Elephas maximus indicus: one gene and its partners. The protein of the gene in region 1 purifies or fractionates together with the protein of each later gene. This does not show direct contact. Links are inferred from orthologs where the notes say so. Each region holds a gene or a part of one and is shown in the gene's direction. Other genes may lie near its edges.

What was found.
Region 2: the proteins of EXOC8 (region 1) and RALB purify together in Homo sapiens (affinity purification with western blotting; 6 studies listed by BioGRID and IntAct, counting the BioPlex papers as one, with this or other methods). This does not show direct contact. The link is inferred for Elephas maximus indicus from reciprocal best matches to the Homo sapiens genes EXOC8 and RALB.
Region 3: the proteins of EXOC8 (region 1) and EXOC6B purify together in Homo sapiens (affinity purification with mass spectrometry; 3 studies listed by BioGRID and IntAct, counting the BioPlex papers as one, with this or other methods). This does not show direct contact. The link is inferred for Elephas maximus indicus from reciprocal best matches to the Homo sapiens genes EXOC8 and EXOC6B.

Annotation. Positions count from the first base shown.
Region 1 is NC_064842.1:33,316,443-33,320,189, forward strand, and holds the start of EXOC8 (exocyst complex component 8), read left to right. Parts: upstream 1-1,348; 5' UTR 1,349-1,474; coding exon 1,475-3,652; 3' UTR 3,653-3,747. Other genes in the region: DNA-dependent metalloprotease SPRTN, read right to left, coding at 719-939. UniProt on the Homo sapiens protein: Component of the exocyst complex involved in the docking of exocytic vesicles with fusion sites on the plasma membrane.
Region 2 is NC_064824.1:19,086,384-19,090,130, reverse strand, and holds the start of RALB (ras-related protein Ral-B), read left to right. Parts: upstream 1-1,353; 5' UTR 1,354-1,478; intron 1,479-3,747. UniProt on the Homo sapiens protein: Multifunctional GTPase involved in a variety of cellular processes including gene expression, cell migration, cell proliferation, oncogenic transformation and membrane trafficking.
Region 3 is NC_064835.1:63,082,590-63,086,336, forward strand, and holds the start of EXOC6B (exocyst complex component 6B), read left to right. Parts: upstream 1-980; 5' UTR 981-1,098; coding exon 1,099-1,211; intron 1,212-3,747. UniProt on the Homo sapiens protein: Component of the exocyst complex involved in the docking of exocytic vesicles with fusion sites on the plasma membrane.

The DNA of each region.
Region 1 (3,747 bases):
CCTCTCATGTCTGAGAGTAGGTTATTATTTCAAATCCGAATTTCTTAAACTTAAAGAGTGTAGAAAAGAAATCTTTAATAAGTATCATTAAAGATCCCTTGGGTCCAGAAATATGGAAAAGTCCTCCTTCCACAGTCCAACACACTAAGTGGTGCCATGTCAATGAGTATAGAGGAAGACAACACATTCTTTGGCGATTTCTTCCCGGCATTTTTCTTAGGGGCAGACGCTGGTGCTCCTCCTTCTTGGGTCCTAAAGCACTAAACTGAAAAACCATCAAATCCGTTGCCGTCGAGGGGATTCTGACTCACAGAGACCCTATAGAACAGGACAGAACTGTCCCCACTGGGTTTCCAAGACCTTAATCTTTATGGGAGCAGACTGCCACATCTTTCTCCCGCGGAGCACCCGGTGGGTTTGAACCAAAGACCTATCGGTTAGCGGTGGTGTCCTTTTACCACTTCGCCACCAGGGCTCTTTTAGCATAAGATTAGTTAAGCTTTATCTATCCATTCTCTAACGACCTAATGTGTAGCAAAAAAAAAAAAAAGGCACCACCACAGGACAAATCGGAAATGTGTCCATTTCTTCTCAACTGAGTTGAGAGTCAAGGTCCTGTGCTCTCACTGTGTCCCTATCCCTCAAGCGTGTGGGCCCCGCAGCTTTCCTAAAGCTGTCAGGGCAGGTGGAAGAGGAGGCCCACCCGGCCGGGACTCACAGGGTCATTCGCACGCTCCATTTCACCTCCACAGCCTCCAGCTGGCCCCAAAAGAACCGGTCGTTGAACTGCACGAAGAGGGCCTGCAGGTCCGGGGTGGGGTCCACCAGCTCCCAGGACGCGTCCACCAGCGACAGGGGTTCCTGGGCGCGGTCGAATCGCGCGGCCTCCAAGTCCCACTCCTCCTGCAGCTGCAAGGCCAAAACCAGGTCTTCGTCCATGGCGCCGGGTTGTGTGGCCCCCCAGCTGCTCCCCGGCGGCTCCTAGGAGATACCGGCTTCCAGCAGCTATCGCGAGAAGGCGGAATACCGGCTTCAGAACGAGCACGAAAGCTGACCTTCCCCAAGACGCCGAAGCCAAGATTCGAGGGCTAACGAAAATCCGCACCTCTTAGTTGGCGCAGAATTCAGTTCCCCAGGTTTGGCCGAGAAGTCGCCGGGAGCTGATACCGCCCCTACAGTTTCAAACACCAGACACCAGCCTCCATCCATGCGCAGAGCCTGCACGACTGCCTCCACCCTCACTCACTTCCGCGAAAGCGCTTAGGGGCGCATGCGCCCTAAGCAGCTGACGCTTCGGCGCAGGCGTACTCGCTAGCGCGGCTCCTTGCGCAAGCGCAGTGCCCGACTCTCAGACCCGAGCGCAGGCGCGTTCACCTCGCTTCGTCCTGCTTCTTCAGCCTGGAACTCATTCCGGCTGGGTGGGTCTCGGCAGCGGCAGCTGTACTGACAGTGACTGCCCGCGAGCCGGACGGAAATGGCGATGTCGATGTCGGACAGCGGGGCGAGCCGTCTGAGGCGGCAGCTGGAGTCGGGCGGCTTCGAGGCTCGGCTGTACGTGAAACAGCTCTCTCAGCAGTCGGACGGGGATCGGGACCTCCAGGAGCACCGGCAGCGCATCCAGGCGCTGGCGGAGGAGACGGCGCAGAACCTGAAGCGCAACGTGTACCAGAACTACCGGCAGTTCATAGAGACGGCCCGCGAGATCTCCTATTTGGAGAGCGAGATGTATCAGCTCAGCCATCTGCTTACCGAACAGAAGAGCAGCCTGGAGAGCATCCCACTCACCCTGCTTCCTGCCGCCGCCGCCGCCGGAGCCGCCGCGGCCTCTGGTGGGGAGGAGGGGGGAGGTGGGGCGGGGGGCCGAGACCACCTCAGAGGCCAGGTCGGCTTTTTCCCCACCCCTGGGGGCGCCTCCCGCGACAGTTCAGGTCCGGGTGAGGAGGGAAAGCAGCGCACCCTCACCACCCTTCTTGAGAAGGTGGAAGGCTGCCGGCACCTGCTAGAGACGCCGGGACAGTACCTGGTGTACAACGGGGACCTGGTGGAGTACGAGGCGGACCACATGGCCCAGCTACAGCGGGTGCATGGTTTTCTTATGAACGACTGTTTGCTGGTGGCCACCTGGCTGCCACAGCGGCGGGGAATGTATCGCTACAACGCTCTCTACCCCCTAGATGGCTTGGCCGTGGTCAATGTCAAGGACAACCCACCCATGAAGGACATGTTCAAGCTGCTCATGTTCCCGGAGAGCCGCATTTTTCAGGCGGAAAATGCAAAAATCAAACGGGAGTGGCTGGAAGTGCTGGAAGAAACCAAGAGGGCCCTTAGTGAGAAAAGACGAAGGGAGCAGGAGGAGGCAGCAGCCCCCCGAGGGCCGCCCCAAGTGCCTTCCAAGGCCAGTAACCCATTCGAGGATGAAGAAGAAGAAGAAGAGGTTGTTCCTGAGGTGGAGGAAGAGAAAGTGGACCTCTCAATGGAATGGATCCAGGAGTTACCAGAAGACCTGGATGTCTGTATTGCTCAGAGGGATTTTGAAGGGGCCGTGGACCTGCTGGATAAGTTGAACCATTATCTAGAAAATAAGCCCAGTCCACCTCCTGTGAAAGAATTAAGGGCCAAAGTGGATGAGCGTGTTCGCCAGCTCACTGAGGTATTAGTTTTTGAACTCTCTCCAGATCGTTCCCTGAGAGGCGGTCCCAAGGCTACTCGCAGAGCAGTTTCTCAGCTCATCCGATTGGGCCAGTGCACTAAGGCTTGTGAGCTGTTTTTGAGAAACAGGGCAGCCGCTGTGCATACTGCAATAAGACAGCTTCGCATTGAGGGTGCCACCTTACTGTATATTCATAAGCTGTGTCATGTCTTCTTTACCAGTCTTCTAGAGACTGCAAGGGAATTTGAGACAGATTTCGCAGGCACTGACAGTGGCTGCTATTCTGCCTTTGTGGTCTGGGCGCGATCAGCCATGGGCATGTTTGTGAATGCTTTTAGCAAGCAGGTGTTTGATAGTAAAGAGAGCCTCTCTACAGCAGCAGAGTGTGTAAAGGTGGCCAAGGAGCATTGTCAGCAGCTGGGAGATATTGGATTGGATCTCACCTTCATCATCCATGCCCTTCTGGTGAAAGACATCCAGGGGGCCTTGCACAGTTACAAGGAAATCATAATTGAAGCCACTAAGCATCGCAATTCTGAGGAGATGTGGAGGAGGATGAACTTGATGACTCCAGAGGCTCTGGGTAAACTCAAAGAAGAGATGAAGAGTTGCGGGGTGAGTAATTTTGAGCAGTACACAGGGGATGACTGCTGGGTGAACCTCAGCTACACTGTGGTTGCTTTCACCAAACAGACCATGGGCTTCTTGGAAGAGGCCCTGAAGCTGTATTTCCCAGAGCTGCACATGGTGCTTTTGGAGAGCCTGATGGAGATCATTTTGGTTGCTGTCCAGCATGTGGATTATAGTCTGAGGTGTGAGCAGGACCCAGAGAAGAAGGCCTTTATTAGACAGAATGCATCCTTTCTCTATGAAACAGTCCTCCCTGTGGTGGAGAACAGGTTTGAAGAAGGTGTGGGGAAACCTGCCAAGCAACTCCAAGACCTGAGGAACGCATCCAGGCTCATTCGTGTGAATCCCGAGAGTACAACATCAGTGGTCTGATGCATGGATCAATTTATATATAGATACATATATATTGCTTATATATTATTTATATTAAGTTACATTAGCGTGTTTTTTATAGTCTCAAACACAGC
Region 2 (3,747 bases), on another chromosome or scaffold:
CTTTGAACCTATGCTTCTTGACTCCAAACCCATACACTTAATTACTCCACAGGAAAAGGTTTGGGTCTGATTTTCCTTCTAGGTTATACAAAGTAGAGATATTCACCTTTGAGACGTTCCCTACTTTCCCTTTAGAATGGTTTCTGTCATATAATTAGCACTCCAGGTAAGTCTTTAATGTGCATAAGAAAGGTAAAAACTGAATGCTTAAGATCCTAGACTAACACTAGGATATTCTTCTGATCGAACGTTTTCTTTGCCTCTGTTAAGACTTACTTAAGATTAAAGTGAAGCTTCTGTGCTTTTGGATATAGATGTTGGTTGAGGGACTACATCAATTAGTTGCTTATACAGGGCAGTTTAATCAAGGCAGAAAAGCTTCTAATATAATGCATATGTACCTTAAAGTGTAATTACCAACCAGGAGAGAATTAATGTTTATATGCCAGACACTGCACTAGCTGCTGTGGATATAAAATTGAATAAAAGATCGTTCCCTTCCCTAGAGATTGTAGAGGCAGACATTTAATCAAATGTGATACGGTGTGAGGTTTGTGTAGGGGTCACCAAACCTGCTCGTGGGGAGGATTCAACTTTAGGAAGGGGCAGTTAGTTAGGAAAGTCAACCTGAGGTGGAGCCCTTTTTGGATAGAAAATTATCAGTCCCCGGGCTTTGGAGGGCGGGGGCGGGCAGGCTGTGGGAGAAAACCTGTTGGTTGTGAGCCTCCTCCTATGCGACTTGCCTCAAGTTGTTGCCAAGCATTGGTCAAGACACTGCACTACTGCTAATGGGAGGTCATTTGTCAAGCGAGTTATGGCTGCTGACGGGGTCCCGCCGCAGGGGACCCCGGCAGGCGTCCCAGCAAACAGCTCTCCGGACCCTTCCACAGATATTCCACGCCACACCCGCGCGAAAGCACACTTCTCCACGTCGTAGCTTTAAAACCTGGGTTTCTACTTGTCAGGTAGGTCGTTCCCTTTTGCTTTTCCCTACTTTGGCCTTGCCCTGGCCGACGTCCCACGACCGGAGCACCGCTCCCTCGCCCTCGCTCAGCGTCCCTGGACCAGCTCGCAGCTCCTCCACTGCAGCCCCGGTCACGCGCGCCTTGCCCGGCTGGGGAAAGAGAGGAAAGGGAAGTGGGCGGGGCAGACATGCGAGCCTGCCCCTCCCGCCTGAGGCGGCTTCTCATTGGCGTAGCTTCCTCCTCAGCCTCCCGGCGCTTGAAGGCTCCGCCTCGGATTGGCTGATAGGCTCACGCTGGGCGTGGCCTACAGGGGAGGGCGGGAACGGAAGGGTGGGCGCGCTCTCGAGAGGAAGGGTTGCCTAGGCGACGCCGGGGGCGCGCTCGAGGGGTGTGGAGGCGAGCCAGCCCCGCTGAATGACAAATCGGTTGGGGACGGCTGGGGTCCGGCCCGGGAGGAGGCGAGAGAGGGGGCGGGGCGGACGGCCGAGGCGGCGGGCGCGGGACGTGTCCCAGGTAAGGGCGCCCACGCCGCGCAGGCACCTCGGGGGGTGGGGCGCGGGCTGCGGGAGCGGGCGCGCCGCCCTGCGCCTGGCGGCTCCTGGCCCCCGCGCTCCCCGCTCTCCCCGCGCTGGGCTGGGGCCGGGCTGGGGCCGGGCTGGGGCCGGGCTGGGGCCGGGCGCGTCCCCTACCGAAGCCGGAGGGCGACGCCCCGCCGCCTGCCCCGCGCCGGCCGGGAGGGTCGCCTGGAGAAAGCCCCTGGGGCTCCCAGCCGGGCGGAGGCTCGGGAGGCGGTGGCCCAGCCTCGCCCTTTTCACCGATCCTTCCCTTTTTCCCCTCAGATGGCCTCTGCTTCCATTTCCTGCCCTTTCGGGCCTCCAGCTGGACGACGGGCCACTTCCTCAGTCCCTTAGTTGCCGCGGTGGGCTGAACAAGAGCTATAAAGTGTTGCAAAAACTTATTATTGCCTTAGGAACTTGTGCGGAAGTGAGGCTGTGTTCTAAAAGCTGTTTTGTTTGGTTTTGGTTCTGTCTTGCAAATGGGTGTGAAGTTGTTTCTTTGATAGGGGCCAGCCCCGAGTGCACTGTGGTTTCTTAAGGGAAGCGCTCTGGACTTTAGCCGTTTTCCTGGACCAGGCATCGACACCCCTGTTCTTGTCTTCTTAGACGTGTATAAGATGATCTGTGGTTGGTTCGCAGCTGTTAGTGGCAGGGAAAGCAGCGCTGAGACTGCTCCTGTGAGCACTTCTCTTCGTGCTCATTATCAGATGCATTTTAGAAACGTTGACCATCAGGGTTGTTATCAGGTGAGGTTTCTGGGGAGAAGTTCTTGTGTCTCGTGGACTAATTTAGGATTGCCAGTGGAAGAGACTTGACTCATTTGTTCGTTTAAGTTATCTGTGATTTGACCCCTGCTTGGAACAGGCGCTCCTTGGAAGCCCTGAGGGGCAGTTCTACTCTGTCCTGTAGGGCCGCTGTGAGTCAGAATTGACTCAGTGGCAGTGGGTTTGGTTTGTTTTTTTTTGCTTGGAACAGGTTAAGTTCTCAGAAATGGGGTGACCATGAATGCGATCATTGAATATATTGGATAGAACAGGAGAGTTGGGTTTGAAAACCTAGGTTTGGTGCTGGTTCTGAAACTTTCCTAGTGGTGTGATCTGGAGCATGGTTTTTCACCCCTCTGTTTTTTTGAATGCCAGATCCCACAACTGTAAAAAAAAAAAAAAAAAAAGATAACTGTATGCCCAGCTCGCTAATTGTTAGAATTGAATGAAACAAGGACCGTTTAAAGTTTTCATTGTGACAGTGGGGGTTGGAATAGGGGTAGGGGTGGGAAGAAGGCTGTGAGTGGGGCATCTTTGGCCAGGATACAGATCCCTTGTCCATGTTTTAGTCAATACAACAACCTAGACTACAGAATGGGAGGGACCTTGGTGAACTCTTGTAAGGTTTCCATGTAACTTGTCTCAAGATGATATACAGGAGTCCCACTTTCATTGACTCCAGTTACTTCTATACAAACAGCCCGTCTGTTAGACATGCAAGACACTGGGGTTTTTTTTTTTTTTTTTTTAATGAACGCATGTTGCTTGAAAAGTCTGAATGTTAGATCAAAGAAAGAAAGTAACCAGAGAAATGGAGCTCTTTCCTAAACACATGGGGTAGGGGGAAAACTATGAGCATCAGCTATCTGCTTGGCACACACCCACTGATCTAATCAATGTGATGTTAATTGCCTAGCATTCAGCTCTGACTCATGGCAGCCTTATGAATGGGATTTTGCCCATTCCATCTGTGCCATCTTCATGATTGTTGGTATGTTTGAACCCATTGTTGGGGCTATCGTGTCAATTCATGTCATTGAAGGTTTCCCTCATCTTCCCTAATCCTCCACCAAACATGATGGCGCTTTCTAGTGATTGGTCTTTTTTGATGATGTGTCCAAGGTAAGCTAGTCAAAGTCTTACCATCATCACTTCTAAGGATCTAATCAAATCTGCTGCAAAAGACCTCTAATTTAAAGTGTTGCAAAGCAGTGATGTCACCTTGAGGGCTCAGGCGTGCCTGATTCAAGCTATGGTATTTTCAGTCACCTCATATGCATGTGAAACTTGGACAGTGAATAAGGAAGACCGAACGAAGAATGATTGATGCCTTTGGTTTATAGTGTTGGAGAAGAATATTGAATATACCATGGACTGCCAGAAGAATGAACAAATCTGCCAGGAAGAAATACAGCTAGAATGCTCCTTAGAAGCGAAGATATCAAGATTTCGTCTCACATA
Region 3 (3,747 bases), on another chromosome or scaffold:
ACTCAAATAATGATTAATAAATCTGATTTTTAAATTCTAATCTGGGGAGTTGCCTAGATCAGGATCTCCAGATGTAACATCTGTAGTCTGTATTAGAAAACAACAGCAAACAAAACACCTCCCAGGTGCTTTTGATGCACTTGGTTGTTGGACCGGTGGAACTATTAGAATAAAGTACAAATTTCTCAACTCAGCATTTAAGGCTTTTTTCTTTATTTTTCCAAAATACATTTCCAGTCCATTTCTTGCTACTTACAGTTCTACATGCCAGTGAAAATGAGTTCTTGCTGGCTCTCTGGATTCTCCTCACACCTTCTGGTCACCCCTTTTAACCTTTAGGCCCCATCTCTCTTTGAAGTCTTCAAACCCAGATGTGATCCCTGAGCTTAATTTTCTAAACTTGCTTACTGACACATTCTGTTTTATATCATAGTTTTGGGCTTATCCAGCTTTTCTCCCCAATGGCCTGAAGGAACTTAGTTCCAAACCCAAAACCAAACCCATTGGTGTCAAGTGGAAATCCAACCCATAGTTAACCTATAGGACAGAGTAGAAGTGCCCTGTAGGGTTCCTAAGGCTGTAAGTTTTTACAGAAGCAGACTGCCACATCTTTCTCCCAGGGAGCGGCTGGTGGCTTCCAATCGCCAACCTTTAAGTTGGTAGCCCAGCGCTTAACCACTGAGCCACAACGGCTCCCCTCTTATTGTTTGCGCCTACAGAGCCTTTGCACTTTGCGGTAAAGGTGTTAAACAAGAATTTGTGGAATTAGTGTCACTGCCTGATTTGTTTACTCTTTTCATATGCAGTGTCGCTGTTCCCGGCTTAACGTGGGCTTTCAACAAGCATTTGTGGAACCAACGAATAATGAACGGCGTTCAGCCTAACATCGCCCAGAGAAATACAAAGCCCAGCATGCATTGCGTGGAACGTCGGCGGACGCGGTGACGCAAGGGGGCGTGCCGAGCCTGAGGGAGGGGTCGTCCTGCGGGTAGCCGGAGGCTGGGGTGGCCGTGGAGCCCGGGGTGAGAGAGGGAGTGTGAGGGAGCGAAAGGTGAACCGAGCTGAAGGAAGGGACGCGTTGCTAGGTGCCCCCGGTTTATGGAGCGGGGCAAGATGGCGGAGGCGGAGAGCCTCGAGACAGCGGCGGAGCACGAGCGGATCCTGCGAGAGATCGAGAGCACCGACACGGCCTGCATCGGGCCCACGCTCAGGTACTCCGGATACCCGGGCCACCGACGGGCGGACACGGGCGGGACCGGCGGGCAGAGTCCTTCGGGTCGGTCCGCCCGGCCGGACTCCCACAGCGCTGGCGTCTGCCCCTCCTTTCGGGAGCCCAGCGAGCGGCCTCCGCCTCAGTGAGGCGGGTCTCCCGCCGGAGCCCCGACGTAGGGTCCTTTCCCGGCCCGGCGGCCCCCCACAGCCCGGTCCTCAGGAGGAGCCTCCTGCCTCCCTCGGGCCAGGCAGCCTTCTTTCTCCCTTCGAGCCTTGCCCAGCGCCGGGCAACTAGAGATCACCCGACAGATGCAGAGCTTCCCCCTTGGGAACATCACCCTTCTCCTTCCGATTCGAACCCTCGTCCTGCCTTAGACATAAGTCCTGCTCTTCAGACAAAACGAAATTTCACCCCACGGTCCCTTGCCTAGAAATGATACTCTTGCCGCCTTAAAATCAAAACCACTTCTCAAAAACGAGCCCCTGAAAATCCTTGGCCCTGGAAAGAAAGTTTCCCTCAACCCGCGCCCCTTTCCTTGGAGCGGGTGCTCGCGAACCCTGCCAGGAGGATGACTCTTTGCAAAGGTGCAGCCTCATAGTATTCTCATGGCTGAGAAAAATTTGCCCCTTCTCCGCCCCCCGCCCCCGTTACACCCCAATTTTATTTGCAGATGTCAAAACAAACCCTGACCGATCCCAACTTACTTATTTAACAAAACTTAGGTAATGCTTCTTATATACGGTGCAAGACGTTATGTTAAGTGATTTACACATTTATTTAAACGCAGAACAACAACAACAAAATCCTACTAGGTGGGTATTATTAGTACTCTCATTTTACAGATGAAGCACAGCGAGGTTAAGCGACTTGCCCAGGGTCACAGAGAAAATAAATTGGAGAAGTCAAGATTCCTACTTAGGCAATCTGGATTCAGAGTCTGCACTTTTTTTAAAACAATATTTTATTATGTTTTCAGTGGAAGTTAACACAGCAAATTAGGTTCCCATTTGACAATTTGTAGAAAAATTGATCAGCGACGTTAGTTACCAGGGTCTGCACTGTTAACCGCTGTTGTTTTGCCTCAACTGGGAATTATCATCTGCCTTACTTTTTTGTTGATAATTACACACCAAAGCCCAATTTAGAGCTACTTTTCCCTTACCCTTCAGTTTAGCAATGCCCTAGAGCTAACTTATCCTCATCCTTTCAGTCTAGGTCACTGTTCCTCCCTTCAAAGAAGAGTTATGAAAGAGTAGTTGAAGGAGGGCCAGGCTGGAGATGACTTCTCAGCCCCAGCTGCAATTCCTTCTCCAGGGTGCATTGTTAGCACAGTTTTCCCAGTGTCATCCCTGGACACTTTTATCCTCAGGTTTTGCCTTCTGTCCTTTAAAGTGACTTTTGGTTCTCTTTTTGGATCAGTTCTTCAGCACTATGGGTATCTTACTCTCCCCTCTGCTCTCATACATTATGATCATGATGACCATGCTTTTCTCATTAAGCTGTTCACGGTGAATGATCCTCATTTCCTAGTCTTTGTTTTTCCAGAAACTAAGGGCTACTTACTAGTGTCCTACTAAGGGCCTTAATAGTTGTTAATATTTGCTTTTTGTAAAATAAAATGTTACTGGAGTTTACTGAGGATGCTGTTTTCAATAGTCTACCCAGAAATTTGACCACTGAGTTGCAGTTGACAACCTAGCAAAGCACCATCAGTGTTGTCTTGAACTGGTTGTGGTTTTCAAAGTTCTTGTTTTATATGATGGATGGACTTTAGTGTTGTCAGTTTAGTTTGTAGTAGTTTATTAGGTTAACTCTCCACTGAATAATGATACATATTTGTATCAACTTAGTTTTGGCCCGTAATTTTTCTAGTGTCTTGACTTTAAGAATATATGTATTTTGGTTCAAATGTAAATTACCATTCTTCCTAAAACTTGCTTCATTATGATCACAGAGTTCTTTTTCCACTGGGAAGTGGGCTTTTATGGGGTAGATAGATTAAGATATATTTTGCCCTAAGGGAGCACAGTTAGAAAAAAATGCACTGTACCAACAGCTTTAGTTGCTTTTCCTGACTCCCTGTATCATTATTAGGGGCTTTTCATTTTTTGTTCTCATCTTTTCTGTGGCAGATAACCCTAAATCTTACTATCAGACTGAAGATTTAATCACCTGAACATCGTAAAGTCGTACCTACTATCTTTGTCTTTAGCTTGCCTCTCCCCATTTTCACAGGTAATGATCTCACCTTATTTGCTTATTCCATTCAGAGGCAGTAGCATGCACAGACTTGATGTTTCAGATCCCATGCCTTATCCTGGATGCACCTCCATCATTATTATATTTTGTTTTTCATCACAGTCCTTAGAGAGGTTTGACTAAGGTTATAAGCACTCTTCTTTAACTCTCCTCAGCTGTAAACCCCACACTCCTCTATCCCTCTTCATATTATGTCTTTCCAATTTTTTCGATCTTTTGAGGTGGCTTTTTTTTTTTTAATTAATTTTTGTTGTGCTTTAAGTGAGAGTTTACAA